Rattus norvegicus: one gene and its partners. The protein of the gene in region 2 binds, or shares a complex with, the protein of the main gene of each other region. Links are inferred from orthologs where the notes say so. Each region holds a gene or a part of one and is shown on either strand. Other genes may lie near its edges. The genes, in order: Rbm22, Bcas2 and Ctnnbl1.

Region 1 (9,686 bases), on a different chromosome or scaffold from region 2:
CTCTGGCCTCTGTAGGCACCTACACTCATGTACATATATCCACACAGAGACACAGAATTAAAAACTTGTAAATAAGTCTTTGAAAAACATCATGAAAAACAAATGGTGGTGGTGAACACCTTTAATCTCAGCACTCGAGAGACAAAGGCAGGCGGATCTGTGAGTTCAAGGCCAGCCTGATCTAAGAGTGAGTTCCAGGACAGCCAGGCTCCACAGAAAAATCCTGTCTCAAAAACCAAACAACCACAACAACAAAAAAAAAACGTTTTCTATAAAAATGTAACCAACATCCTTACCGTAATGGTAGGGTGGAAACAGAATATAAAGGATGTCTGGTTAAATGTGATTTCGTGATAATGAATTCTCTTCTAGCAAAGTACTAGAAATGCAGACATCTGCGCCTAGCCACGCGTTTGGACCCTACTGGGTCTTTATTCTTTAGAGGCAAGGACGAACAGTAGAGCTCCGCATAAGCCCCTTGAACCGCGGGCTCTGACGCGAGACCACACCCCTCCGCGAAGCCACGCCCCACGCCGTCCTAGGCGCGCAGATTATACGTAGCTCGGCGCTACCCCTGTGCCTGCCGGGATCGTGGCGGTCGGTCTCTCGAGTCGGAAGCCAGAGCTGCCCCGGGACTCCCGATATGGCGACTTCTCTGGGTTCCAACACTTACAACAGGCAGAACTGGGAGGACGCGGTGAGTGCGCGCCGGAGGAGGACGCGGGAACGGCGAGGCCGGGCAGGATGGGGAAGCCTTGCCCTAGGGTGCGGTGGGTTCGGCCAGAACCGAGCTGCGGCCTAGCTCGGTGGGGTAGCCGGAGGAGAGCGAGCCCTCGTGCGGCGGATCAGGGTCCCGGGACCAGTGTCCACCCGGCGACTCCACTCTTCCCAGATGCTTTCCTTTTTCTTCCTGCCGGAAGTGCAGACAGCGTCCCTTCCCGGGCCGCGGCCAGTGCGGGAGGGAGCTGGGGCTCCTGCCAGCCTTGCATCCTTCCCAGCCCCAGGACAGTGACTGAGGGAACAGGGTCTTCGGGACTTGATCTTCAACCAGCTTTTCCATTTTCTCCAGGACTTCCCCATTCTGTGTCAGACGTGTCTTGGAGAAAACCCTTATATACGAATGGTGAGTGCTTTCCTGTGCAGCGGAAGTAAACTGTTCCTTATTTTGTGGTCCTTGCAAGGTAAATGTAAAGAGTTTCTCTTAGCCGTTAGAAGAATTGATGCTCTTTCTAACCCAAAGGGAGGACAACTTGCAAAGTACTGCCCTACCTATTTCCTCTCCTAGATACTGAGCAGTAATCCTGTGACATAGGAGCTGTAACATAACAGCTAATACTTGTTGAGCATCTAACCTAAAAAGTAGGTCTGTTGACAGGCGAGAATATCTTTACGTAGCACTACTTCCTGGCTACTAGTCATGTATCTCTCAGCCACTGTGCCTTGGGGTAGTCTCTCTAGTTTAAGATACACTCCATCTCCTCTCCAAAAAGGGTAAAATAGCGACAGGCATCAATGATTATAGGGTTGTATGTTGTGATCGGCCTCACAGATGCTGACTCTATAGTTTATGGGAACAGAACGTTGGATACGTACCGTCCACCAACCAGCACAGGAGAGTCCAGAGCAGTTACCTTTTGCACAAACTATAGAAAGACTTGTCTCTAGTTATCATCCTACTTGATTTGGTGGCTGGAGACCTTGGGAATTTTGGTTTTCACACCAAAAGAATTTTTAAAATTCATCCCATTAGTTAACAAAGATTAGATGGCATATCCACATCCTAATATAAAAAAAAATCAGTTCTTAATTGACGCTAATTTTTTTTTTTAATAGACATCATTGGGTGTAACATATTCCTAAACCAGCCATGAGTGGTGATGGCTACCTTTAATCCCAACCTTTAGGCAAGTGGATCTCTGTGAGTTCAAGGCCATTCTGGTCTGCAAATCAAGTTCTAGGCCAGCCAGGGTTATGTAATGAGACCTTGTCTTTTTCTTAAAGCACATAGATACCATCCTTCCCCACTGTCTACCTCCTCCAACCCAGCGACCTAGCGAACTCTCATGAGGAGAAGCTGCCGACCACATTGCAAGAGTAGATGCTTTAAAAAGCCATTCCCGCTTCAGGTGCTGCCTGCCATCTCCGGTCTTGGTTTTCCTAGACCAGTCATCAGCTTGGTGGCCAGCTCCCACCAAACACATAGCCAACCAGCCAGGTGATTGGATTGATGTTTAAACAGTTTCCTCAAAGATTAGTCAGCAAGAAACATGTGCTAGAAATTGTGGAAGCTTTCATCTGGAAAACAGAGTAGCCCTTGAAATAGCCACCTTCCAGAACAGATTTCTTCATTCTTATTAATTTTTTTAGGTTAGCATACAAAGGGATGGATTTCATCTTGGCATGTTTCGTATGTACTTCGATTTCAATTCTTTCCCTCTTCCGCTGCCCTGCCCCTTTCTCTCTGCCCCTTCTGCCTCATTTTCTTAGATCCCCCAGTTTACCCTTCTTTCTAACAACACCTGTTTTATTATCCCCACATACAAACTCTTTCTTCCCACTCAGGGTCCCTTTTCTTGGTTCATGATCTACACACATACACAAGTACAATTTAAAATCTAGGTTCAACATATAAGAGAAAATATATGGATTTTTAGTAGGAATTTTAGTTCTTGAAAGTCAGAAGTAAATCTAAGAGTTAAAGCTCCAGGAAGACACTTGGTATTAGATCAAAAGAGAATATGATCTTGTCGGAATATCTCTCTCTTAATTTTATTTCTCTTGCTGTGGTAAAACACCCTGACAAAAACAGCGTAGAAGAGTGGAGTTTCATTTGGCTTACAGTTCACAGACACAGTCCATCATTGTGGGGCAGTCAGGACAACAGGAACTCGAAGTAGCTGGTTACATCACATCCAAGTCAAGACAGAATGAATGCATGTGTACTTGCTAGTGCTAAGCCCCTTCTTCACTTCCAGAGTCCAGGGTCCAGGGTGCAAGCTGTGGGAATGGTGCAGCCCATGATCAGGCTGGGTTTTCCCACGTCAACTAACGTGCACACAGGCTGATGTAGGTAGGCAGTCCATCATGGAGGCTCTTGATTCTAGGTTACGTCAAGTTGACAATTGGATCTGACCCTCACAGCATCCCTTACCGTAGCCCCAACGAAAAGATGAATTAGGTTTGATTTGATTGTCTTTCCAGGGATCTCCACACACATACCATGTTTTGTACTTGGAGGTGGGGAGAAACAGGTACCCGGGTTGGTTTCATTTGTCTGTCTGTCTGTGTGCTTGCTTTCTCTGCCGTAATTCCAGTTCTTTTCTATTTCAGACCAAAGAAAAATATGGAAAAGAATGCAAAGTAAGTATGTCTATTAAGAGTTAATTTTCATTTTCTTTATCCTTTTCTTCCCTGTATTCTACCAAAATGGCTTTGTGTTTACTAAGTTTTGAGGTCCTCCATTCAGAGTTCATGCTCACAGCTTTCATGATATAGTCAATAGCTATGGGAGAAAAGAAAATGGCCATTCCAGTGTTAATTCATAAACAGGTGTCTAAATATGCACCAAACACCACGAGTTTGTGTGCTGAGAGTTTTAGCTGAGGAGGAAGAGGAGGATTGTGGCTGCCACAATATTCTGGAAGAGATATTTCCTGCTTCACTTTCCTTGTTCCCCACGAAACAGACAAGTCAAAATTTAATGTTGTTTGCCTCTAGGTAGGAAGGCTTTGACCTTCTAAATGCATATTTCTATACTATTTTAGCTTTTTAACTTCTAGAAAAAAAAGGAATTAAAGGGGATTGGGTCGGCTGACATGTAAATAGATGATTGCTAAGGCCAGATCTCCATACTTACTCAGTCTGAATTGAGTCCAGGTCAGAACGATTAAGAATCTGTCCCTTGATGTGTGTTCAGATCTGTGCCAGGCCATTCACAGTATTTCGATGGTGCCCTGGGGTCCGCATGCGCTTCAAGAAGACTGAAGTGTGCCAGACCTGCAGTAAATTGAAGAATGTTTGTCAGACCTGCCTGTTAGACCTAGAGTACGGTATGTTTGCCATGTTCATTAGATCTGAGAGTGTGCGGGTGCCCAACAGGGCTTTTCCCAAGAAAAATGCCATAACTAGGCTGCTCTAGAGACCTCCAGAGCAATAGTAGGAACTTCAGGAGCAATTGGAAAGAAACTAGAACTGGCCTATTCACCCATCTCTGTGCCAGTTGGCATTGCTGCTATGACAGTGTTTGTTTGTTTGTTTGTTTGTTTGTTTGTTTGTTTTTCCTGGATCCTTTTGATCGAAAACTTTCCACAGTCCTGAACAAGTTCCTGGGCTAATTATGCTGTGGGCTGTTGGACCAAGTATTGCTTCTATTTCAAAACACTTGCTTCTGTTTTTACTTTTTTATGTAAATGAGGTTTTCCTTTCAGAAAAAGTTACCTACTGGCAAGGGGGGGGAGAGGAAACCTGCTGTGGCTGCATATCATTTTATATCATATATTTGTCAGGAGTTCAGACCTGGAGTACAGTGTTACTAAGCATAACTGTCTGTCCACAGGAATCCAGTCTAACAATAAACCACTCTGTTCTATGTATTTTAGGTATATTGTATTAAAGCTGGATACTTTATTAACTTAATTAGACCCTAAAGTATATTCTTTGAAACAGTTTTCTAAAACACTCACGTCACCGTATTCTATGTCAGCACAGGAATTTGGACAGTTTCTTAGGTAGTCTCCGCAGCAGGTGTTAGCCCGATGGTGCTAAACAGTCTGATTTAAAACATTGTAAACTGTCACAAGTAGGTTGATTATCTGATTTTAAAGATTTATTTTTGTTTTTCATTTGTGTATATGTGGGGGTGGGGTATAGGGCAGAGTCTAGAAGAGAATGTTGGCTCTTCTGGAGCTGGAGTTACAGTGAGCCACCCTGCATGGTTGTAGGGAGCCGCACGTTGGTCCTCCGTAGAGCAGCTCTCTTGATTACTGGAACATCTCTCAAAGACCCACCAACTAGGACCAAGAAGGGAAGAGTGATGTTGTACTTTATGTACATATTGAATATGAATATTAATTCCTCAATTTCTTTGTACCAGGCCTACCCATCCAGGTCCGTGATGCAGGGTTATCATTTAAAGATGACATGCCTAAATCAGATGTCAATAAAGAATATTACACCCAAAATATGGAAAGAGAAGTATGTTTTTTATTTCATTAAAATCTAATTATATCACTTCTCTCCAACCCCTCCTATGTCTTCTCCCTTCAACCCCTCCCATCTATGGCCCTCCCAAAAGATGGCCTCCTTTTCTTTATTAGTGTGCTAGGCATGCTTGCATATGTGTTTGTGTGCATGTGTACTGCGTGCATGTATGCATGCGCATGCATGTGTGTGCTTGATACCTGCTGGGTTCATTTAATGTGGCCTATCTGTATCTGATTTCAAAACCGACCACTTTATACTGGATAACCAGTTAGGGAACTCCTGTCCGGGAGACTAATTCTCAGCAGTCATTAGTTGCCTGTACTTTGTCAGCCTTTGTTTTGGCAGGGACATTGTTGAGATACCATGGGTGTAGCTTCCCTGTCACTTCTATGACTCAGTCTCACACCAGACGTCCTGGTCCTCTGGCTACTGTCTCGATGCCGTTGTGTATCTGGGGGAATGGATTGAGTATACATGCTGCTGGGAACTGAACCCAGGGCCTTGTGATGTAGTTTTGTGTTTGGTAAAATCCTAGTGATTGACGGCTTATAAAGTTGCCTTCTCTGTGCAGATTTCTAACTCTGATGGAACACGGCCAGTCGGAATGCTGGGAAAAGCAACATCCACTAGTGACATGCTACTCAAATTGGCCCGGACCACACCTTACTACAAAAGGAATCGGCCCCACATTTGTTCCTTCTGGGTGAAAGGAGAGTGTAAGAGGGGAGAGGAGTGTCCCTACAGGTAAGGCCGAGCCTCACCTTCAGACTCCTGAGAAGTGGGAGACGCTCGCTTAAACTCAGGCCTCAATGCTAAAGCTCTGTGGTCTGTTCGCAGGAGAGTAGCTCCTGCTTTAAAACATAAGAGCCTGGCTAAATTACCTTTTACTTACAGCTAAGCCTTGGCTACTGAAATTGCTATGTTATATGCTATACGTGCTGACTGTTTCTAAGTAAGTGCTAAGTTTCTATGCTAATTTGGTGTCCATTTAAATGGTGTGAATAGCAAAATGTAGCTGAAGTCAAAGCAAGGCCAGTGGCCTGAAGGCTCCTGCAAGCATCGGTTAGGGGTTTAGCTAATGATTGGTTAACTGTAACACCACCCTGAATACACACCCTTTTTCTGAGGTGAAGTCGGATTCAGCCAGAGCCTAGTAGAGCAGTTTAAGTGGATTGCTTAGAGCATCAGGAAGGCTTGATGTGGTAGAATAACTCCTCTGGTATTTGCTCTTGTGTAGTAACTATTCCTGGTGAGACACTTTTCTAATTTGAAAGGCATTTGAGGGATCCTTACTATGTAGCTACTGCAGAGTGATATTTTTCCCTTTCTTTCACCATGGTGCATTTCCCACTTGCGAATCTTAGACATGAGAAGCCTACCGATCCAGATGACCCTCTTGCTGATCAGAATATAAAAGACCGGTACTATGGAATTAACGACCCTGTGGCTGATAAGCTTCTCAAGCGGGCTTCAACCATGCCTCGTCTTGACCCACCGGAGGATAAGACGATCACCACACTGTATGTGGGTGGTCTGGGAGACACCATCACTGAAACAGACCTCAGGTTTGTGAGCGTCATTTCACAACTCTTTGCTTTTAACTGCCTTTGAGTAAATAGTTTGCAATAATATCACCAGACATACTTCTATTTCTTTATCCAGTCTGTCATTGATATGAATGCCGATTCAAAATTTTATAAATCTCTTTTTTATGATGCCAGAGGAGTTGTATTTTTCAAGAGTGCTTTTTATCTTTGCATCAAAAAATAATATAGGGGTCTAAAGACCCATTTGAATTTTTTTAATTTTTTAGTTACTATAGACTTGTGCAAGTGGCTTCAAGAACCCAAAGAGCTCTAGATCTTGCAGGTGGTTGTGAACCACTCAGCGTGGAAATCAAACTTAGATCCTTGTGAGAGCACTGTGTGCTCTTTACTTCTGAGCCAGCTCTCTCCGTATTGGGCAGGTGGCGGGGGCGGTGGAGGGGTGGGGGGGTTTCTAGCCAGGGTTTTTCTCTGTAGCCCTAGCTGGGCTGTTCTGGGATTCACTCTTGTTAACCATGCTGGCCTCGAACTCACAGAGGTTCTCCTGCCTCTGTCTGCCAAGTGCTGGGAGTAAGGGTGTTGTGCCATCACCGCCAAAGGATGACATACATACACACCTGATTGTTGTGGAGGGCAGAGCGCCCTGCGATTCCAAAACTCTTTGGTTTAAATTGTTGCTTTTTGTATTTCTGGCTTACACTGTGTTTGACTAGAAGAGAGATCTCTTCCAGGGAGATGAACTAACTCTTGCCTTGGTAGCCTTTCTCTTTGAGCTAGCAATCTCCATGGGCCAGCTAGCTTTTATAAAAAGGCTAGAGAAAGCACTTTGGGCCTAGTTGACCTATGTGATCTCTTTGAGCTATTGCTCCCATTTTGTTTTGCTTTGTGACATGTAGTTCCCTGCAGCTCAGGCTAGTGTGGCGAACTCTGAGGACCTAAACTCCTGCCTCTCCTGCCCTCGCCCTCTCCTGCCTCTTCTGCCCCTACCCCCTGGTACTAGAGTTATAGGCAGGAGCCACCAGGTCTCATTTGTAGGATTTGATTTTGATGTATTTATTTACTTATTGTTTATCTTTGTTTATTTTGAGACAGGGTCTTGTCATGTAGACTGTCCTGAAGCTCAAGACCTTCCCCTTTCTCTGGTACTAGAATCTGTGCCTGGGCCACCATACCTGGCTTTCTTCTTGTCTTCCATTTTCTTTCTTCTTTTAGTTTTAAGCTTTTTAAATTTCAGTCAATATTTTGTATTTATTTTCCAGTGCTAGGATTTGAAACCAGGACACATATATTAGGCCAGCGTGCTCTGCCATTGAGCCATTCAGTTTTCAACTCTTAAACATTGTGTTCTTAGGTGGGCGTGATGGTATTTGCTTACAGCCCAGCTAAGGCATGATCACTTGAGTCCATGAAATCAAAACTAACCTGTATAACATAGCAAGGCTTAATCTCAAATGAAAATGGTCTTGGCACTTGGACCGTAACAGCTGTAGTTTGCCAGTGTCTTATACTAGGGTAAGAAACTATGGCTCTGAAGTGACCAATTAAAGGCCCTCCCCTCCTCCCCAAGAAAAACTCCAAGATACATAAGAACTTTTGCCTAATTTTTCCCTTATCTCCAACAAGTAGCACCTACAGTAGGGCAGGTGTGAGAGAGCCTTAAAGACAAGCACCTGTGTGTCCGAGGGGCTCCCCTGTGTGTCCGAGGGGCTAGTGACTCGGAACACTTCCGTAGCCCATTTCTGTTTTCTCAGCACGTCTGGGTTACTAACCTGTTTTCCCGGGCCTGTGCTCTTCAGGAATCATTTCTACCAGTTCGGAGAGATTCGCACAGTCACTGTTGTGCAGAGGCAGCAGTGTGCCTTCATCCAGTTCGCCACCAGGCAAGCTGCCGAGGTGGCTGCCGAGAAGTCTTTCAACAAGCTGATTGTGAACGGCCGACGACTCAATGTCAAATGGGGACGGTATGAACAAGACTCTTCTAAACTGTTCATCTGGGGATGGAAAGCTTTGTTTACATAGGTTTGACAGGGCCTTTACAAATCTTTAGGCCCTTCTCTGGTATTTTTTAAATGACTTCATTTATGTGTGTGGGTGTTTTGCTTACTTGCATGTCTGTACCATTTGTGTGCCTGGTGCCAGGAAAGGGTTTGGATCCCCTGGGACTGGAGTTGCAGATGGTTATGAGCCACCATGTGGGTGCTGAGAATTGAACCAATGTCCTCTGAAAGGGCACCCAGTGCTCTTAACCTCTGAGCTATCCTGCAGCCCCTTCTTTTGTATTTCTTAGTATTTGGAAGCTTCTTCCTTTAGAAATATATTCAAGGTCTTGCTCTAATAACCTGCTCCTTTGGAGTTCTTCATTTTTTAGCAGCCGTTGTAAGGTAAACATGATGTAAGATTGCCAAAGGTAGATATTGGGGGTCACAGTTGAATTAGACCTAAGTGCTCTCCTCAGACTGAGTACTGGGGAGTGGAGGGAAAGGCACTAAAGCAGAAGGAGATCCGTTTTAAGTTTGAAATTGTCCACAAAAGAGAAAAGGCTGTAAATTTTTTTCTTTCTTCTTTTTTTTTTTTAAGGGGGGGTGTGTGTGGTTTGCTTTGGTGTTTTGTTTTGTTTTGTCTTGTTTTTAGAGACAGTTTCTCAGTGTACTCCTGTAACTCAGTCTTAGACCAGCCTGGTCTTGAACTCACAGAGATCCCCCACCTCTACCTCCTGAGTACTGGGAGTAAAGGCTTGCACCACCTAAGTTTCAAAGGGGACTGACTCTGTGTCCATCTTGAAAACAGAGAGGAGCAGGCTGACAACAGTTCCCTTCCTGGGGGGCCTTCTGTCTGCTGAGCACTGCTGCACACATGAGTGCTGCCCTCCCTGGCAGTGACAGTGGTGTTGGTCTGGTTGTTTTCTTCTTTTGTTTTGTTTGAGATCAGGTCTTTCTGTGT
Region 2 (10,237 bases):
GATCACAGCCATCTGTAATGAGATCTCATGTCCTCTTCTGGTGTGTCCGAAGACAGAGACAGTGTAGTCATATACATAATATAAAAGATGACACTTAGCACTTGACAAGGCAGCTAACCCCGAGTGGTTCTGAATGGCTCATGTGTACAAGGGATAAGATGAAGTAAGTTCGAAGACTTTTTCTCTTTCCAGGAAGCAAAATGAGATTTCTTCACAAGAAGTGAAATCTTTGTCTTCATTCTACGCATAACTGAAAGTGCCAAGGACAGTATGTTCCCAAGGATCTGGATGCTTTGAGGAGCCCTGTGATGTCCTTGTGATTGTAAGAGGAGAAAAACTGTCAGAGGGCTCTCCTGTTGCTGCAGACCAACTGGGAACAGTGTGGAACCAGTGCGCGCTGCTCTTCTGATTCGGGGACTGTTTGTCTTTGAGACGGGGTTTGTATATATAGCCCTGACTGTGATGGAACTTGCCACTGTGGAGATCAGGCTGGCCTCAAATCCTGATCTCACAAATCTCAAAGATCTTACAAAGTGTGCTTGCCTCTGCCTCCCAAGCGCTGGGATTAAAGGCATATGCCACCATGCCTGGGCAAGTTACTTTTACTGTGGTGTTTTATCTTTGGTTATTGATGAGCACAAGAAGCTCCACTTTGTGCTTAGTCTATGAAAGTAGTTGTCTTTTACAAGAGAAAGACTGAGAAATACTTGGTGTTGCATTTTCTAAAAACAATGCAAAGATGAGATCAACGAGAGATAAGAATACTGAGAGTTTCAGGTACTAGACACATGGAGGACACCATGGTCACACGATTCTTATTACTGAAGCGTCGGGTTACTTTAAATCCATGGACTGTTTGTGCTTTGAAATTCCAGTACTGTTGCCATTGATAACCCCCTTTTGTCCCATGTCCTATCTTGGAGGATTTCACTCATGTTAGAACTTTAAAAAGCAGACACCATGCAGGGCCCCCCCAGAATACGTGTCCTGCTGGGATAACTTGCTTCTTATATGTCAGCATTATGCTTTATGGAATGGAGCCAATATGAAAATGTCCTTTTAAGGGCATAGCTTCTGTTTATTGAGTTTTGGTGTCTACAATTTGCTGCACTGTGATAATCTACATGTCATCTTATTCAAGCTTTAGATCAGCTTCATGATGTTTTACAAGAAACTGGAGTTCAGAGAGGCTAAGTAATTTGGCCAGTTATATACAAGACAGAACTAAGCCAAACACTTGACTTACGAACACATACAAAGCTGGTTAGTCCTACAGGTGTAAATGAACTGTTTATAGTGATGTTTAAAGTTCTTAGTGGAGCACACCAGAGCTTCCTCTTGGCTCTGATGAGACTCTAAGCTGTGGGTGTCTAGGCAAGGTTTGTTCCTCTGCTGCTGGTGATAGAACCCAGCGCCTTCTGTGCGTTCTGCCACGCTGGTTATTTTTACATCGGTGTGAGTTTCACTTAGTGTTTCCTAAGCCTATACCTCTTCATCAACCAGATGCTGGAAATCTAAAGTCCTAGGGCCTGGGAAAGGGAGTTTGTCAGTGAGGGTGCAGTTTTCATTGAGAGGTGATAGACGTTGTGATAAATGTCAGTTGTTTTCTGTAGCCTTTGCTCATGGCTTTACCTGGCATGGAAAATATTTATTCAGACTTGGAAAGTGTTGTACGTTGTGTTGTACACAACCGACTGTTGTACAGTATTGTTATTGTCACTTATGCAGCTGTATTTGAACGAATCCATTTAAGACTGGTGCTGTGCAATATAGTTCCTAGATGTGGTCCAGGGAAGAGAACTGAGCCTGTCTTTTAAAATGTTAATGCAGCTTACCGAAGTGGAGCCCCTCCCAGACACCTCTCTCATTTGGGCTCTTCTTACTCCAATCCCAATGGAACAGTTCCTAACTGATTGTGTATAAGGTGGGGTAGGAGGGTCTACTGTGGTCAATCATGACTGTCCCTCTGCAGGGAGAGTCTTACCTTCTTACAGTCTAAAGCTGCTTCCTTTCCTTGAGTTTGTTGTACTTTGTTTTTGTAAATGTTGTGAATTCTACATACGTTTGTAAAGAGAATTGTTCAACATTTCTATCAAATGTTTACAGATCTTTTAATGAATAAAGACATTTTAAAAAAAATTCCACAGATCTCTTGGAGAATTTAAGACAAAGCAGCTAAGATGTGTAGTGGCTGCTTTGCTGTGGCAGTGCTAGAACATGGCCAAGCAACGTTAACGAAGAGCGTTCATCCTGCCTACAGTCCAGGGCTAAGAGTTAATTCTGGTGGAGAAGCATGGCGCCAATATGAAGGCAGGAAGGAACAGGGAGAGTTCACATCTTCAAATGGCAACTTGAAAGCAGAGAGCAAAAGTAGCCCATCTCCAGAGACTTCTCCAGCCTAAACTCTACAACAGCGCCACCAGCTGGGGACTGAGTATTCAAATCTCTAACCCCAAGAAGCAGTTCTCACCAAATCCCAACACGTGAAGATACTGCACTTTACATAACCCTATAGACAGCACATTTACACAGTCATAAATTCTCAAATTCATCTTAGACTAACTGGGCTTATAACCGTGACCAACTTTTCCAAAGCTCTTAACAGATAAACCGTGGTTGAATGCACGTTGGATAGCATATGTAGTCTGACAATCGTTTTTGCATTTACCTCTTAGTCTGGAAGATATTTTACAGAGCGTGTGTACTAACTACAGCCTGAGGGGTTGAGAGCCAACGGGGAGTAATATTCTATTACCACAAATCCTAAAGGCAAAGGGATTGGGTTTTATATAGGCTCTAAAGACAAAAATGACAGGATTTTATCATTAATCTTTTTAATCCTGATCACAGCCTCCCCTCCATCCTGTCCTACTCCCTCCCTCTCACCTTTCCTATCCCCATCTCACCCCACCCTTTCTCCTCAGAGAAGGGGAGGCCTCCCGTGAATATCAACCAGCCTTGGTATATCAGGTTGCAGTGGGACTAGGCACATCTCCTATTGAGACTAGATAAAGCAGCCCAGTTGGGGGAAAGGAGTCCAATGGCAGGCAACAGAGTTAGACAACCCCTGCTCCAGCCATTAGAGTCCCACATGAAGACCAAGCTGTACATCTGTTACATATTTGTAGGGGCCTAGGTCTGTCCGTTGTATCTTTGGTTGGTGGATCAGTCCCTGTGAACCCCTACGGGACCAGGTTAGTTGATTCTGTGTTTTCCTGTGGTGTCCTTCCTCCCCCTCTTCCACAAGATTCCTGGAGCTCTGCCTAATGTTTGGCTGTGGATCTTCGCATGTTTCTAACAGCTGTTGAACATCATGAATAGTGTCGGGGTGGGCTCTCTCTTATGGGATGAGTCTCAAGTTGGGCCAGTCATTGCTTGATCATTCCTTCAGTTTCTGGTCAATCTTTATCCTCATACTTTTTATAAGCAGGACAAATTTTGGTTTTGTGGGTGGGTTGGTGTTCCCATCTCTCCATTAGAAGTCTTGCCTGGTTCCAGGAGGTGGCCATTTCAGGTTCCATATCCCCTGTTGCTTCAAGTCTTAGGGTAAACCTCAAGTTTCCCTTTTCCTAGATTTCTAACTTGCTCCAGAGTTGCCCCTGCTTCGTGGCAGAGCTTTTAAAATGAGGCATTTTGTATATATAATACAGTCCTGGGAGGGTTGAGGTGTTTGCAGTGCCAGGGACTGAATTGGTTTTGCCATTGAGCCGCATCCCTCACTCAGGTTGTTAGATCTAAAAATTTGATTGGAAAATAGGCGCAGATTTCTAGTTTCTATAAAAGAACATTCTTAAGGGGCCAGCTGCGAAATGAGGATAAAACAAGGGAGTGCTTAGAAGCCCAGCACCATGGCGAGTTTAAACAATGGAAGGTTAAAGGATGTGGAAATCTATTTCTCCCCTCCAGCCAAGTCCAGCAACCGCCTCTTCCCAAGTCTACCCTACCCACTCCTTCGAAAATAACCCACGCGGTACCCATACAAAGAAAGTCACCCTGGCATGTCAGCATGTGATAACTAATATTAGAGTCTAGCGGCTACAATTACCAACTGCACAGGCGCCGGAAGCGAAAAGCCAGAGGCAGCGTGACGTCATTCCAGGCGCAGGCGCAGAGAATCTAATCGAGCCTGCGCAGACTCAGAAGGCGCTCTTGGAGTACAGTGCCGCGCGATGGCGGGCACGGGCTTGGTAGCGGGGGAGGTGGTAGTGGATGCGCTACCCTACTTTGACCAAGGCTATGAAGCGCCTGGCGTGCGGGAAGCGGTGAGTGCAGGGCATGTGCGGCGGGGCCGCCGGAGGCACGCTGCTGCCCTTTTCTCGCCGCGACCCCGGCCTGTTCTCGTTCTTAGGCTGCGGCCCTGGTGGAGGAGGAAACGCGCAGATACCGACCTACCAAGAACTACCTGAGCTACCTGACAGCCCCAGATTATTCTGCCTTTGAAGTAAGTGTGGTGTCCTGGGCCCAGCACTCTGACCAGGAGGCTTGCGGACTTTGATTTCGGATTGAGAGCTTTAGCTGTGTAAAATGAACGTCACCTTCCAGGCTAACTGGTGCTTGCTGCTCATATTGAGTGCCATATAGGTATCAGTCGGTTCAAACCACCAGATGAGCTTTTCATAGGGTCTGTACTACAATAACCCGCGAATGACTTCATTGGTTTCTGCAGACTTGTTGAAGAGTGCTCCCCACGCCGTGTCTCTGTGTGTGTGTGTGTGTGTGTGTTTTAATATAAGAGTCATAGTATATTTCACAAAAGAACCCTTTATTCTCCAATGTCTATTCAAAAACAGGTATTAGATTTTAATATTTATAATCTTAGGTGCCTGTACTCTTTGCCACCACTGGAGGGAGATTTTTGTACCAAGACTCCGATAGTTAGCAGGTGTATGAATGCCTGAACAAGTACGTCTTAATGGTTATCCTCAAAGTGCAACCAAAACACCATTTAGGCCCTAATCAAGTAAATGTGCGGTGTCGTTTCTAGATTAATGAATTCTGTTAAATTTCAGTCCACACCTGTTCAGAGTTTCTCCCCACCCCCACCCTGCTACACTACGAAGATGTTAAAATACTTTCAGGCTGAAGGAGAAGGAGAAAGACTGCTCCATGTACAGGGATGTGTGATTCTTTCGGATCCAGATCCCAGGTTTTTAAACTGGGTTGTGACTCCTCAGTGGGGGTTTCATAACTGATGTGGGAGCTGCAAGAAATTTGGCAAGAGTAAAAAGTACTAACCCAAAAATTAATTGGAAAAAAATCAAGCCCCAGATCCAAGTGCTGGTCCATGTTACATCATGTGACTTCACAGGTTACGCTGTGTCAGACCGTCATGCAGCACCAGAGACTTCCTGAAATGATTCAAGACTGTTACTTTATGTTGTGAATTATAACGTGACATGGGGCTGGGGTTAAAGTTGTTTTCAGAGTTCCACAACTGATTGCAGAGCATTGAAGACTGCTGATGTAGGGTTAATCCTTGACAGCTGGGCTCTTCTAGGTTCACCTCCTATCGTGCCTAGGTAGAATATGGAATTAAAGAATATGCCTATTTCTTCAGATTCTAGATAGCGTTAACCTCAGAGCAAACTGAGGGGTGTGTGAGGGTGTAGTATAGTGGTCCTGGGTTCAAATATTCGCATCCTTTTTATTTGAGAAGTAATTGAGAGAGGAGAAAAGATTCACTATAATGTATAGTATAAAGTATAAAATATAAGTAAATTACATTCATTATTTTCAACATGATCCTGTCACTAATTCTTTGTGTTGTTTGTGCATCAGACAGACATAATGAGAAATGAGTTTGAAAGACTGGCTGCTCGACAACCAATTGAATTACTCAGCATGAAGCGGTAAGATGAGGCTAAGCTGTGGTAACCGCAGCGCTGCCAGAGGTTGGGAAGAGTGTTTGCTGCTGGGCATAGGACGTGGGAATAGAGAGAACTGTAATCATCATTACTACATTAAAAAAAAAAAATGCTAGCAGATATAATACAGTATTTTTAAGCAACTTTTTAAAAAGCTGATAAGCAGACTTTATGTAAGAAGGGTCATGGTAGACGAACAAGGACAAGGGACATGAGAGTCTCTGTGACTCACAGCTTATTTACCTAGTTTACATTTATGGAAGTAGTTCTTTGTTACAGTATACAACTGTGTTTTTATCTGTCAAGATCAGTTTCCAAACTAACAGGTTTCTTTGTACTGCCTGGCCTACATTGTGTCCTTGGTCTTTTGCACATGCAGGGTCATGGTCAGGGGTTGATACTTTGTGTCTCTGCCTTTATGTAATGGGCATATGTCTGTGGAAAGGGGTGATGAGTCTTTGCGAGATACATTGGTTTATTTGTTATGTAATTTCAGATATGAACTGCCAGCCCCTTCCTCGGGTCAAAAAAATGACATCACTGCGTGGCAAGACTGTGTAAACAATTCTATGGCCCAGCTGGAGCATCAGGCAGTGCGGATTGAGAATCTGGAACTGATGTCACAGCATGGGTGTAACGCCTGGAAAGTGTACAACGAGTAAGAGGCGCTGGGCTCTCTCTTATCCTGTGCCACCCAGGGTGGTATGTGCATGCTTATCATTCCAGCACTTGGCTGGGAAGCTGGGGTGTGGAGGAGGGCCTGCCTGGCTTATATTTTGAGTTTAGTCACCCTAGGCTCACCTAGCAAAACTGCATGTCCAAAATAATAATAGCAGTTGTGCTAGACTTGACTTGGGGCTGTATCAGAACAGAGTGAAAGGCTGCATCTCGAGTCCTGCCTTAGAGTTCACTAATGCTGAGCTCTTTTACGTCCACATAACTCCCACACTCACTGTGCGGTATAAGAAAATGAGCTCTGAGGGTGATCTGCAGAGCACCACTTGATAAAATGCAGTCCTTAACGTGTGGATGCTTAAATAATGGATTCCCATGTTCATGTATCATGGTACTTAAGTCTTGAACACAGAATCAGGGATACCGTACCATTTCTCCTAGGGGAAGTATCTATACACACACACACTCACACACAAACACCTACCTCTCACACATACCTCTTACAACTTTAAACAGTAAGCTGGACGCACAGGAGTATGGCTACATTTGGGGCTAGCCTAGGCACACAGCTTCCCCAAGCCACAAATTTAGTCCCTGTCTTATTAATAGATTAATACCCAACACTTAAATTCTATACTCTGGTGCTCACTGGAGAACTAAAATTAAAGAGTGGAGTGGGCCTTGTGTAGCCTTAGTTGTGGACCAGAAACCCAGATTGTTCACTGCTGTGGACGTGTTTATGAATTCTCACAAATTAGTAAACAGTGGTTTAGGCAAGCCGAGTAGTGTGGAATATGCAAATAATGAGAATCGAAATTGTAAAAGGGTTCTGCTGAGTTGGGCTTACTGATGCCACCAGTTTAGCTCCAGGCTCAGTGAGAGGTCCTTTCTGCTGACAAGCTAGAGAGATGGAGGACAAATCCTCGAATGATGACCGTTAACCAGGTATGGTGCTACATGCCCATATACCTGTAAGCTCGGCACTTGGAAGGCAGAGCCAGGTGGGTGGGTCTGTGTGAGTTCCTAGCCAGCCTGGTCTACGTGGTAGTCACAAAAGAAGAAAGTCATTTTAAAAGGTTGGTAGAACTGGACCTAGTAGAACATTTAATCAAAGCCCTGGGGAAGACCAGAAATCAGTGCCAAACTAGATTGAGACCCTTTCTCAAACAGATTTTATTTAAAAAGAATGGTGGAGTCAGATGATAGCCCAGTGCTGCAGTGCATCAAGCATGCGGTTTGGATTTGATACCTAACACCTACACCCAGATGCATTCTTACATCTGTACAGTTGGATTCTTAAGACAGCAAGGAGACTAGGCACAGTGACACTGTATAAGCTGGCCTACACTATACAGTGACACCTTATAGTTCCCTCAGACAAGAGACCGGCAGTATGGAGAACAAAGGAATATACCGTACAGTCTGGAGAACAGCTTTCTAGTCTGTTTGTCTTTAGCTCACCAACTGTGTGCACGTCACTTGTCTGCCTTTCAGCCAGACAGCACTCTGAACATTCAGAGCATATTTGCCTCCAAACCCAGTAGCTACTTCTCCACAGGAAGCAAATGTTATCAAAAGTAAAGTTTCGAGAAGTTCAAACAGAAACCTCAGAATCAAGCGTGAGAATGACACTCTCCAGTGCAGGATTGGCAGGCCTCGGAAAGAGCAGAGGGTGGGAACTAGAAAGGTACAGCTGTGGGAGGAAAGATCGTTAGAGAAGTCCTGGTGTCCCTGCCAGCACTATACACACTGGGTCTGGAGCCAGCACAGTCAGGCCAGGGTTGCTCAGGGAGACCTGAATGGTGATCATCTGTCATAAGAGAAGGTCGATGTGGTGTGTGACTTCTGTCTTCATAGCAAAAGGAGTCACGACTAGTCTGATGGCACTGTCTTTAGTTCTGCAGCTACTTTAACACAGTCTGAGAGGCAAAGGGATTCCCTGAGTCCAGGAGTTCAAGGCCACCCTGGAGAGCATAGTGGGACACTGTCTCCAAAACAGAGGTCCTAAGAGTTTAAGAAGTAACATCAGGTCAGGCAGTGGTGGTGAACACATTTAATCCCAGCACTTTGGAGGTAGAGGCAGCCTGGTCTACAGAGTGAGTTCCAGGACAGCCAGGGCTGCAGAGAGAAACCCTGTCTTGAAAAACAGAAAAATGATAAGTTACATCATTATCTAAAATCAAACCCAGTAAAGTACTGGATTAAACAAATGTTAATGAATTATCTGATATTCTAGACACAGATCCCCAGATTTTTAGGTTTTTAGCAGAAAAACCTGACTTGGTATAAATAGGCAATTCACTTTTCCTCGGTGTTACCAGATTTCAAGGTGTCTGTGCTCCCTTCCTTCCTTAGAAACCTTGTTCACATGATTGAACATGCACAGAAAGAGCTTCAGAAGTTAAGGTAAGTTGTTTATTTCTATTTGAACAAAATGTAGATGAACCTCTGATAGGGAAAGAAAAACTATTATGTAGTAAAATTCCACTTCTGTTAAGCAGTTTTTAATCATGTATGTTGTTGGTGTGTGTAAAATAGTTACCTTTGAGAAAAATAGAAATTCATAATATTTAAGAGGTAGATATCAAGGAACAGCAAAAATCAAAGCTTGTACCTTTATGACATGTATTGATGAGAAGCTTTGTATGTTGTGGCATGTGTTGAAGGGAAGCTTTGTATGTTGTGGCATGTGTTGAAGGGAAGCTTTGTATGTTGTGACATGTATTGAAGAGAAGTTTTGTATGTTGTGGCATGTGTTGAAGGAAGCTTTGTATGTTGTGGCATGTGTTGAAGGAAGCTTTGTATGTTGTGGCATGTGTTGAAGCTTTGCTGGTTTATGAGAAGTGGGTTAGGAAGATGGACCAGGGGTGTGGAACACAGCTGTAGCCCTGGTGCTTCAGAAACTGTGTCAGGAAGAGTTTGAGCTCACAGCTCAGCTACATGGAGAGAAACTGAAAAACCATCCAGGGGAACATGGTTGTGGTCTGAAGGGTTTGTCCCTGAACATACTTCAGTCAGCAGGGGTCATTGAGCAGTCAACATGGACACCCAAAATTGACTGGGCCTCCAACCAGAGATGCTGCCGCACCTTCATAGTTAGAACATGGAGGAGCCACCCTTGACGAGCCCTCTGCTCAGTAGGGACTGGCAGATTCCAATTGACAGGACCGAGTGGCCAGGTAGTGCCGAGCTTCACATATGCTGTAGTACAGTACTGGGTGTAGTTAGTACAAGTGCAAGACACTGTCTTCAACTTGTGTTTTTGTTTCTAAAGTGGTTTTGGTTTTAGTAAGTAAACCATATAACGAATAGCTATTAATATACTAAGTGATGTTAATAGAATTTACTGTGATATTTTTGATCTACTGTGTCTAGCATCTGGCACTGGGTTTGCTGTACCAAAGTGGAGGAAAAACTAAGCTTGAAACCTGAAAACGTTCTCTACAACTCACAAGTCTGCAAACCTGAGGAGAACACCTTGTGAGTCAGGCAGGACATTAGGATGACACTGCACACATACGCACATAGGAGAAAGAACCTTGAAGGACTCCCACTGTCTCAGTTCATGTCCTCTTGCTAATAATACCACAGGCTCAGTAAGGTGGAAAGAAAAGACCTTCATTTTGACTTACAGTCATGGGAATTCAAGGTTGAAGAACTGGGTCTGCTGACAGTTAGGGACAGATCCCAACATGGTA
Region 3 (10,348 bases), on a different chromosome or scaffold from region 2:
CATGGGTTTGAACAGCCTATGGGGTCAGGGAGTGGAATGTGATGGTTTGTGTATGTTTGGCCCAGTAAGTGGCACTATTAGAAGGTGTGGCCCTGTTGGAGTAGGTGTGTCACTGTGGGTGTGGGCTTTAATCTTGTCCTAGCTGCCTGGAAGCCAGTCTTCTCCTAGCAGCCTTCAGATGAAGATGTAGAACTCTCACCTCTGGCTTCACCATGCATGCCTGGGCGCTTCCGTAGTCCCACCTTGCTGATAATGGACTGACCTCTGAACCTGTAAGCCAGCCCCAATTAAATGCTGTTCTTTTTAAGTGATGCCTTAAACATGGTGTCTGCTCACAGCAGTATAACCCCAACTGAGACAGGGAGTCAAGTGGAACTGCCTCAGAGCCCAAACTGCTACACCCCAGAGAATGACAACGTGTACCCCGTGTTTCTGCAAGGTGCAGAATGACACTGCTTTTGCGAGGATCCAAGCATATGCCACATCCCCTCTGGGGACCTGCAGTTATTGGAGAACCTGGGAATAGTGCCCTGGGAGGAACAATAATGACAATGACAGGGGCCAGGCTCTCTTTCGAGTGCTTCGGCAATAAAGAACCAGTGCAGAGGATCCCCGGAGAGCACTAACCCGGCACAGACAGAGCAGGTGCACACCTGCAGACAGTTTGGGTCTCCAGGAGCACTGGCCTGAGGTTCTCACGCTGGTGTAGACAAGGGCTGCGAGCCAGTGAGTGTCTACTGACACCCGCGGGGCATGGTGTACGTGCCCGGGATTTTAACCCTGGACAATATTTTTTGTACAAGACCTTTCCCCTCTAACTATATATGTTCCCAGAAGGAAGAGACCTTGTTTTATATAAAAGCACCATGCTAGACTGGAGAGATGGCTCCCTGTGTGAAGCACTTGCCTTGAAAGCCTGAAGACCTGAGTGTGAGACTCCAATGCCTGTGTAAAGCCAGACAGACATGACGGCGTGTGCCCGTATTCCTACCGCTTCGCGCTGAGATGGGAGGTGGGGACAGTAGAATCTCCAGAGGCATGCGCAGCAGCAAACCACAAAGAGAGTCTGTCTCAAAGGTGGTGGGAAGTGAGCGGCAGCACCCGAGGTTGCCCTCTGACATCCACGCATGCGCTATGGCGTCCCTCTCCAGCACGTGTACATGTGAGCTTTATCCTGAGAGCCAAGCGTTGTTCTGGCACTGAGTAGGTTCTTACTAGTTACTTATTACAGAATTGGGTCATGTTATAGAGGAGAGAACTGAAGTCTGGAGATGGGACTTCACTTAGCCCAGCCAGCTGTGGCAGATGGAACATTGGCTAGCCCAAGAGCCAGGGCTGTGTTGGTAGGTGGATTTTTGGAAGAATACGTGACAGCTGTGATTTGTACTATGAATCGATCTCTTCATGACACAATACACCACCGTGAATGTTTCCATGCTGATGCGAATCTGCTAGAAAATTCTCTGAAAATTAACTCTGGGTGACTCAGGGTTTTATTGCTATGAAGACACACCATGGCCATGACCAGAGAGATTCCGTAACCCCGTTCTTCTATCCTTGACTGTAAAGTCAGAACCACGTCGCCAAAGCTGTCAAGTTCTGGTGCTTGCTGGGGCTCAAACCTGGCCCCCTTGTAAAAATGACATCTTCATCAGCTTTCTGTTTTTGATGGCTTCTTTCTTCATTGTCTAAGTTTGGCTGTCCTGAATCTTGATGTGTAGACCAGGCTGGCCTCACACTCAGAGATCCACCTGCTCCTGCCTCTGGAGTGCTGGAATTAAAGGGGTGCACCCTCACACCTAGCTCTCACCTTTTCTTTATCTCATTTTCATAAATTGGAAGCTTGGCTGGGTGGGATCTTGACATGAAGCCATCACTCCCTTTATTCCATTTTTTAAAAAATATGTTTGTCTCCTTGAACAGAGGGTTTAGTTCCACTATACTTGGTGTCCTGTTTCTCTTTGAACAGTCTCTAGGCCACATGCTAACATTCTTCTCCTCTGAAACCTCTTGAGGCAGGCCCCCATAGTTCAAATCACTCCAGGTACCACTGTCTTCCATGTTTCTACCAAGATGGCCCACTAAGCCCCACTGAAAGCATTTAACTACTTTTCTAATCCAAAATCCCAAAGTCTGTGTTCCTCTAAACAAAAGCATGGCCAGTCCTTGGCACCAATTTTTGTTTTATTTAGTGTTTTATTGTTGTGAAGAGATACTATGACCATGGCAAGTCTTATAAAGGAAAACATTCCATTGGGACTGGCTTAATCGTTTTCAGAGGTTTAGTCCATTATGGTTATGGTGGGAAGCATGGCATTGTGCAGGCGGACATGGTGCTGGACAAAGAGCTGAGAGTTCTACATCTGGACCTACATACAGGCAGCAGGAAGTGACAGTGACACACTGGCTAGGCTTGAGCTTCTGAAACCCCAAAACATACTCCCTAGAGATATACCTCTTCAACAAAGCCACACCTCCTCCAACAAGGACACACATGTCCTAGCAGTGCCATTCTCTATGGGCCTACGGGGGGCCATTTTTATTCAAACCACCAGACTGGGTTTTTGCAAATTTGTCTATTTAAGCTGACCGAGGCAAGGCACACACTAGAACACAAGTCTGTTTTTGGCTCAAAAGACTCACTTTTACCCTTATTCTGTCTTGTCTTTCTGGAAGTTACAATCTACACTTAATCAAAAGGGAGGGGTAATACATGCAAATGAACTGTTATAAAGCAGTTTGCACAGGCCACCTGTTGAAAACAGAAACCCAGTCAGAAAACATCCCTGTTTTGACCCTCTCAGCTACTTCCCTAAGTAGACGGTATAAAATGCACTCTCGTTACCAAAGCTCACAAAGCCCATTGTGAAACCTCTACCATGCCCTGTTCTGGGCTTTGAAGATTTGAGGGAGAAGTTGACAAACTCAGCCCCAACTTTTAGAGTTTGCAGTCGAACTAATGAGGCTGTCAATACATAAAATGTCAACTATCAGGTACAAAGTGACGGATTGAGTCTGTGAACAGCAGAGGAAGTGCTCGCAGAGGGAATAATGAGGAGAGGATGCGGCAGTTTGAGGAATAACACGTTTCTCATGTGTAGTTGGAGATAGTTGAATGGGCTTTCTGGGATGGAGTCTGTTGTGATTCCTTACTATTTCAATAACGGGCAAATTCCTTCCCCAGAAACCTCTTTTTATAAAAGTGTGTGTGTGTGTGTGTGTGTGTGTGTGTGTGTGTGTGTGTGTGTGTGTGTGCTTCTGGGTGTAAATGGAGGCCAGAAGAGACCATCGGATCCTCTAGAACTGGAGTTAAAGGCAATTGTGAGCTGTTCAACATGGCTGCTGGGAAGTAAACTGGGTTGTCTAGAGAGCAGTAAGTGCTCCTAAGTGCTGAGCCATTTCTCCAGACTCCCAGACCTTTTTTATACTGTTTGGGTAGACGTGAAGATTATCCAATTGCTACTGGGTCTTGTGCCAATGACAGAAGCTCAGAAAAAACAAACAAACAAACAAACAAACAACAAACACGATATCAACGTTTTCTCAGTCACCAGTAATCTATGCCCAGGTGCCAATTTGTAAGCCAGCACTGTCCAGGGGAAGCATAATGGGAACCCCAAAATGAAATCCATGTAAGCAATTTCAGTATATCTATTAAGTGCACTTAACAAATAAGAAACTCAAATTCATTTCATATTTCCCTTTACCCATAAGTTAAAAAAAAGACACCAGTTCAAGTATGAAAAATCCAGTGTACATTTGATTCACACTTAACCTCTCAATTAGGACTAGCCACACTTCAAGTGCCCAGTAGTCACATGTGATAGGACTAGCCACAGGCGACTATCATATGGGACGCAGGATTTTAAACCTTAGCTCCTCTCTCCCTCCCTCTCTCCCCTCTCCTCCTCTCTCTCTAACCCATGCGAGACAGGGTTTCTCTGTGTAGCCCTGGCTGTCCTGGAACTCGTTTCTGTAGACCAGGTTGGTCTCGAATTCAAGAGATCTGCTCGCTTCTGCTTCTCCAGTACTGGGATCAAAGGCGTACAACACCGCCAACCAGTCAACTCAATTTCTTTTTTTTTTTTTTTTTTTTTTGGTTCTTTTTTTCGGAGCTGGGGACCGAACCCAGGGCCTTGCGCTTCCTAGGCAAGCGCTCTACCACTGAGTTAAATCCCCAGCCCCACAACTCAATTTCTTTATCTGTGAAATGAGGGTGAAATAAGAACAAAAGTGGCAGTCTCTGGAAGACGTGGAAGGTTACCCACGAAACATCAGGCATTCTGCTCTACACTTGGATGACCGCCTAGTTTTTAGGTTTGTTCCCTTAGCATCCTCCCACTTTCCTGCCCCTTCAGGATCCAGGCGGAAGCAGAATAGTCAAACTGCGGCGCGCTTTACGGCAGCGCTTTCTTTTACGGCAGTGTGGCGAGAGCGCCGGCCACGCGCTCTTTTACTCTATTGGTTCTGAGGCCTGGCGCTTTACGGCAGTGTGGCAGGAAAAGCCTCTAAGCGGCCCGTGGTTCGGGAGTAAGTGGAGGCAACCAGGGTACACTGTGCTGATTGGGTCCGGAACCATGGACGTGGGCGAACTTTTAAGCTACCAGGTAGGTGCAGTTGGCAGGGCCGGAGAGCTCCTCATCCTCGTTGGCGTCGCAAGGAAGAGCCCGGTCATCTTGCCTCCTCTCGGTCCCTGGCCCTCACTTCTCATGTCACCCGGGCTTGCATCCTGTCATTGCACTTCACTCCCCTAAGCCCTCGTGGACCCTTTCGACCCCTTCTTTCTCCAGGCCTGAGCCATTTGATCTCTGTTCCCCACCCGGCAGCCCGATTCCCTTCAGCTCCTCTTCGGCCTCATTTCTTCCAATTCATAGCGCTTAAGACAGTTGTGGAGAACACTGCTTTTTATTTCGGTGTCAGTTTCTTTACCAAGAGTCGGTGTAGCTTTGGATAAGTCTTTCTCCCGTCACGGAGTCTCGTTTTTTCTTTTAAAATCTATAAAATGGATATATGTGAAAGGTCATTTGAAAGTGCAGAAACCTGTGGCCATGGTCCCCGCAATTGTTAAGATACTTGGAAAATGAATCATGGAATGGGTCCCTCAGAGACCTCTTGACCTCCTTGCTCAGGGTACTTGTGGGGAACGGGTGACCTAGAGAGAAGAAAGGACTTGCCCGAGGTCACTCAACAGCTACAGACTAGATAAAGTTCAAGTGTCCAGGCTCCCGGCCCAAAGTTTTCGCCCTCTTTTGACTGCCTAACTGCCTAATGAGGTTCCTTGGGTCCAGCCTTGTTTTCACTAGCTGCAATAGCGTCGGAGCTCATACAGGGTAATTAGTCTGAATTAGGAAGTACTGTTTTGTAAATCACACCTCATTCTAAAGACATAGTATGAAAAAAGGTAGTATTTTTATATTGATTACAGAGCCTTGATCATGTTGGTTGAATGAGTATATACGAGACCATCATATGATGGAGCATACTTTGGGTAATGGAAATAAAATACAATTTTAGCCAACCTTGCCCACTTGTGTAGTGTTCAAACTGTGATTGTTTTAAAAGACCAGAGTAGGTGATGAGAAGCTGTGAGCCTGAACTGCTGGCCATGGATGCCTTAATCTCAGTGCCTGAAAGTTGGGAGGCAGAGGCCCCAGGTCACTAAATTCCAGGCCAGCCAGCGATACTTAGTGAAACAACCCCCTGATCCTCCAAAAGCCTGGATTTGGAGCCCCAGGTTGCCTTCAATCTCTTCTTTTTCTTACTGACTGGTTGTAACCTTGAACAGAATACCTCATGCTACCTACCTTGTGTCTGTTGTGAAGAAATTTTTTCTTCTGTTAAGAAATTTACAGTGGGCCAGGTGGTTGTGGCACATACCTTTCATCCCAGCATGCAGAGGCAGAGGCCAGAGCCAGAGGCAGATGGATCTCTCTGAGTCCAAATCCAGCCTGGTCTACAGAGTGAGTTCTAAGACAGCCAGGGCTACCCAGAGAAACTCTGTCCTAAAAACAAAACAAAACAAAACAAAACAAAACAAAATGAAAGAACAACAACAAAAAACTAGCTATGCATAGCAGTTGGTGGCTCACACCTTTAGTCCCAGGATTTGGGAGGAGGCAGAGGCAGGCAGATCTTTCAAGGCCAGCCTGGTCTACAGAGTGAGTTTCAGGACAGCCAGGGTCTCACAGAGAAATCCTGTCCAGAAAACCAAAACCAAAAGAAAAAGAGAAAAAAAAGTGTTAGGCTAGTGTTTGTTGCAGAGTATAATAACAGTCCATAAATACTAATATTGGTAATTATTTCCTTTAGCCAATATATAAACCCTGATCCCATAGATGGAGACTCCAAGCCTGATGAGAAAGAATACATAAGTGTCAGAGAACAGATGCGAGGCCACAATATTTTCCCCTTTAAGACAGTGTAATTGATAATGGAACAAGAAAGGTGGTGGGAAGGTCACTGAAGAATACTCGTTTGGGAGTTCTGGGCTAAATCCATAGTCTAAATCTGTAGAGTCCAGTCCATTGATTCAGAGCTGGAACAGTGCAGCCAGGAGAGGCCCATTTGGCTACAGATACTTGTTGGACATTTACTGTGCACAAGCTACTTGGTCCTTTGAGCATATGATGTGGAAATAAACAAGACAAGGCTCTTGCTTTTGAAAAGGCAAATACAGTGGGGGAGCCGCCAGAGAATATTGAGTAAGCAAATAAGAAACTTAGATGGCCAGAAGTGTTATGAGGGAGTGCGGCAGAATCCGCTGTGGAAATGTGAGCATGTTTGGCGTCTGCTGTGCGCATGACTGTTGGATATCGAAAGAGTGGCCCACCTGCATCAAGTGCTTATGTGTAAAGTACACACTGCGTCTCACAGCTTTATTGGGGAATGATGAACTATCTTAATTTTTAAGGTAGATTACGTTTATACATTGGATTAAGGATAATAGATTTTTAAACTTAAATTTCGTGCCTACTTCTGAGTTTAAACTTCTATGTAAGGTTTGTGACTCTCATTGTATTTCTGTTGGCCAACGCCGCTGTGTATAACTCCTTTCAGGGCCTCTGTAGACTGAGTGGTCAGGGAAGGAGTCTGACGGGCCAGCGTTAGTGCCCTGAAGGTTAAGGAGCCAGCATATGACAGGGCAGAATGATGAAGTCAGGGGCAGAGACTGTGAGCACAGGCTCCAGGACCATTAGACAAGCAGAGAGAAGAGCCATGTAACCCAGCCTTGGTGAGTGAGCAGGACACCAGAAGGTGACACGGCATCTGGAAATATTGGCAGATTACAGTTGAGGTAGGACCTCCTTAAGGGCCAGAAGAAAGCCTTTGCATTTTGAGAGGTGATACAGATGTCTTCATTTAACCCACCTGTTTGTAGCTTAAACAAGAACTCAGATCTGATAGACAGACCTAGCTAACGTTTCAAGCCGGGGCAGTGATTGACAGGCCAAGGCGGTGACTTGACGTGTCTCCAGAATCTTGGTCGTGTATTTGCAACTCTGTTCCTTTCAGCACAGTCTACCTCCATTCCTATCTGAAAAGGTCAGAGTCTAATCTAGAATCTGTAGTCTAAATCTATAGAGTCTAGTCTATAATCAGTCAGACATGGCCGTCCTCCTGTGGGAAATCTTGAGGATGAGACGAGCCTATGGAAGTGGAAGTGCTTTGAAGACAGCGATACTCTTACACAAAATAATTATTTAATTATTTACCTGCCTCTTCTCTAAATCCACATAACAGCTCTTTGAGGAACTAAATTTCTTTTCCCTCTCCTCTCCTCTCCTCTCCTCTCCTCTCCTCTCCTCTCCTCTCCTCTCCTCTCCTCTCCTCTCCCCTCCCTCCCTCCCTCCTCTTTCTTTCTTTCTTTCTTTCTTTCTTTCTTTCCTTCCTTCCTTCCTTCCTTCCTTCCTTTCTTTCTTTCTTTCTTTCTTTCTTTCTTTCTTTCTTTCTTTCTTTCTTTCTTTCTTTCTTTCTTTCTTTCTTTCGTCAGGGTCTTATGTAGAACAGGCTGTCCTCAAACTCACTTTGTAGCCAAGGATGACCCTGAATTTCTGACTCCTTTCCCACCTCTCAAATGCTGGGATTGCAGGTGTCTGTCACCCCACCTGGCTTTGGACAGAACCAGAGCTTAATGAATGCTAGGTGAGCACTCTACCACTGAGCAGGAGGAACCCTCTGAACCCCACAGAGTCTCACTGTGTCACCCTGGGCGGCCTGCAGACCAGGCTAGCCTCAGCCTCACAAAGATTTGCCTGCTTCTTGCCTTTGTCTTTTGGAGTGCTGTGATTACAGGCATGCCAGTATGAGGAGCTGTTTTAATCCCCATTTTACAACGGGAGAAACTGAGATCCTAGCCGGAGAGCACTCAGGCAGTCCTATTCTTAGGTGGAGGTCCTGACTGCTGTGTTGGTCTGTTTGATGTGTGCCAGGGGCAGAACTAATGTGCCTGTAGATACATTGTCAGGTATGGTGGTCCGCACATCCTCCAAAGGGAGATGGTGTGACTACTTCATGCAAAGAGAAACCGAAGCTAGGGAGGCAAGTTTCCTGTCTGTGAAGCTCAGGCAGCCAGGAAGCAGTAGAGCCAGCCCTGAACACCCAGGCATGTTTGCTGCTGTTAAAACAACCTCGAACTGATGTGTAAAAGAAAGCGTAAATTGTAAGCCCTGCTGCGCAGTGTCAACATTGGCAAAACCGACTGTCATGAGCACTGATGCTCGCTCCCTGGGAACAGAAGGGAGCAAAGTTGTCTGGCTAGAGCATTCCCAGCTCAGAAGTTTGCCTCAGTGTTCTGAGAGTTGGGGTTTTGCACATTTGGGGTGATTCTAAAGCTGGTGGTCAGGGACTGTACATGAAGGCACACTGGTCTAGAAGCATCTGCATTCCTTTTAAGCTTGTCCCAGTTGAGGCAGCCCTGGCCTCTCCTGGGCACCGGTCTGCAGGTTTTTCAGCTTAAGCTGTACTTCTTCCCTGCCGCTCAAAACAGAGAGCAAATCACTTAATCTCTCTGGGCCTCAGTTTCCTCATATGCCTAATGAGGGGATTAGGTATGACTCTCTGAGGTCCCTAGTAGCTTTAAAATTTAAATACTAATTATTTAGGCCAAGGGCTCCAGAGAGTCCAGTACCTGAAAAAGCATGATGTAGTAGAAGGGCTTGGGGCTGGAGACCTGGGAGATTTGGGTTCTAATCCAGCCGTTATCAGCACTTATCTGGGTGACTCAGGACAAGTCACTCTCCCTCCCTGCACATCCTTTCTCTTGTCAGTTGTAAAGCGAGGAGTTCAGGCAGTACAACTTGTGGTTCTTTCCATTCCAAAACTCAGGGTCTAAGGTGAGCAAGAAGAAGTCTCATACAGCAATAGGAAGTGTTTATTAAAACTTTAACATTTTTTAGCTTGCTTATTAAATTTCATTTTTGGGGCAAGTCAGTGGGAAGATTGCAATTTTCTGCTGAGATTGGTTCTTTCAGTAATAGGCAGGAGAGCACCTCAGTGTATGCCTTCTACCCTTGACAGATGTTAGCAATTCATTTGAGAAGACAGGAGAATTACAATGTGGACAGGAGGTGGTGGGAAAAGTCTTAAAGAGGAAACCAGTTATGTTCCCAATATGGAAATGCACTTTTTTGATGCCTTCAGGCTTAGACATCTCATCAAGAAGTGTGCCCAGCAGTGGCTCGGGAGAGAAGTTTCTGCTGCCTAGGCGCAGATCTGAACTCCAGGGCACTCTCATTAATACTCATTCCACAGACGTCTGGGGAAAAGTTCTTACCTCTGAAGTTTTGCAATAAAGAATTCGCATTTAGTTCAGATTGGCTTGGTGGGAACGACTGGCTTTGCACCTCCAGAGGAATTCTCTTTGAGACAGATTGAGGTCAGGGACCCTTGGCTTGGATGATATTGCAGACACCCACTCCCCCTGTCGATGTGGGTAACGCCAGCATTTTCCTGGATGGAGGGGCTTCTTCCAGTCTGTTTTGCTCCTCTCCCATTTCTTACTTTTGAAATAAAATTTAATGATAATAAACTGTCGAATAGTAAGGAAGAATTTGAAGCAAGGAAAAACCACTACTCCAATCCAATGAATATATTTTATATGCCTGTAAGTATTGCATATGGACTGTTTTGTGTTGATTTCTTTAAGTAACATGTATTTTTTTCTACATAGCTTTCATGTTGCTCTCTAACGTATGCGAGCTTTCATTCGAGTCATAGATGATTTTCCCCTCAGTTATTACTCCACAGTTGATATTTAGGTCGTGTTCAGGTTTTTGATGGGGGTGTAATGTTGTTTGGAGCTTCTTTGCTCGTGTGGCATTTCCCCCTCTCCTGGTCACTCACAATGACT

Evidence for each region.
Region 1: Bcas2 (region 2) and Rbm22 share a complex: the UniProt entries of both Homo sapiens proteins name them as parts of the postcatalytic spliceosome P complex. The link is inferred for Rattus norvegicus from reciprocal best matches to the Homo sapiens genes BCAS2 and RBM22.
Region 3: Bcas2 (region 2) and Ctnnbl1 share a complex: the UniProt entries of both Homo sapiens proteins name them as parts of the PRP19-CDC5L splicing complex. The link is inferred for Rattus norvegicus from reciprocal best matches to the Homo sapiens genes BCAS2 and CTNNBL1.

Annotation. Positions count from the first base shown.
Region 1 is NC_086036.1:56,283,217-56,292,902, forward strand, and holds the start of Rbm22 (pre-mRNA-splicing factor RBM22), read left to right. Parts: upstream 1-590; 5' UTR 591-643; coding exon 644-697; intron 698-1,069; coding exon 1,070-1,123; intron 1,124-3,330; coding exon 3,331-3,360; intron 3,361-3,916; coding exon 3,917-4,049; intron 4,050-5,092; coding exon 5,093-5,193; intron 5,194-5,773; coding exon 5,774-5,946; intron 5,947-6,566; coding exon 6,567-6,767; intron 6,768-8,542; coding exon 8,543-8,707; intron 8,708-9,686. UniProt on the Homo sapiens protein: Required for pre-mRNA splicing as component of the activated spliceosome. Involved in the first step of pre-mRNA splicing.
Region 2 is NC_086020.1:193,376,848-193,387,084, forward strand, and holds the start of Bcas2 (pre-mRNA-splicing factor SPF27), read left to right. Parts: upstream 1-4,152; 5' UTR 4,153-4,169; coding exon 4,170-4,262; intron 4,263-4,348; coding exon 4,349-4,441; intron 4,442-5,778; coding exon 5,779-5,849; intron 5,850-6,360; coding exon 6,361-6,522; intron 6,523-8,894; coding exon 8,895-8,945; intron 8,946-10,237. Other genes in the region: Dennd2c (DENN domain-containing protein 2C), read left to right, coding at 193-224. UniProt on the Homo sapiens protein: Required for pre-mRNA splicing as component of the activated spliceosome. Component of the PRP19-CDC5L complex that forms an integral part of the spliceosome and is required for activating pre-mRNA splicing.
Region 3 is NC_086021.1:166,803,374-166,813,721, forward strand, and holds the start of Ctnnbl1 (beta-catenin-like protein 1), read left to right. Parts: upstream 1-4,525; 5' UTR 4,526-4,577; coding exon 4,578-4,607; intron 4,608-10,348. UniProt on the Homo sapiens protein: Component of the PRP19-CDC5L complex that forms an integral part of the spliceosome and is required for activating pre-mRNA splicing.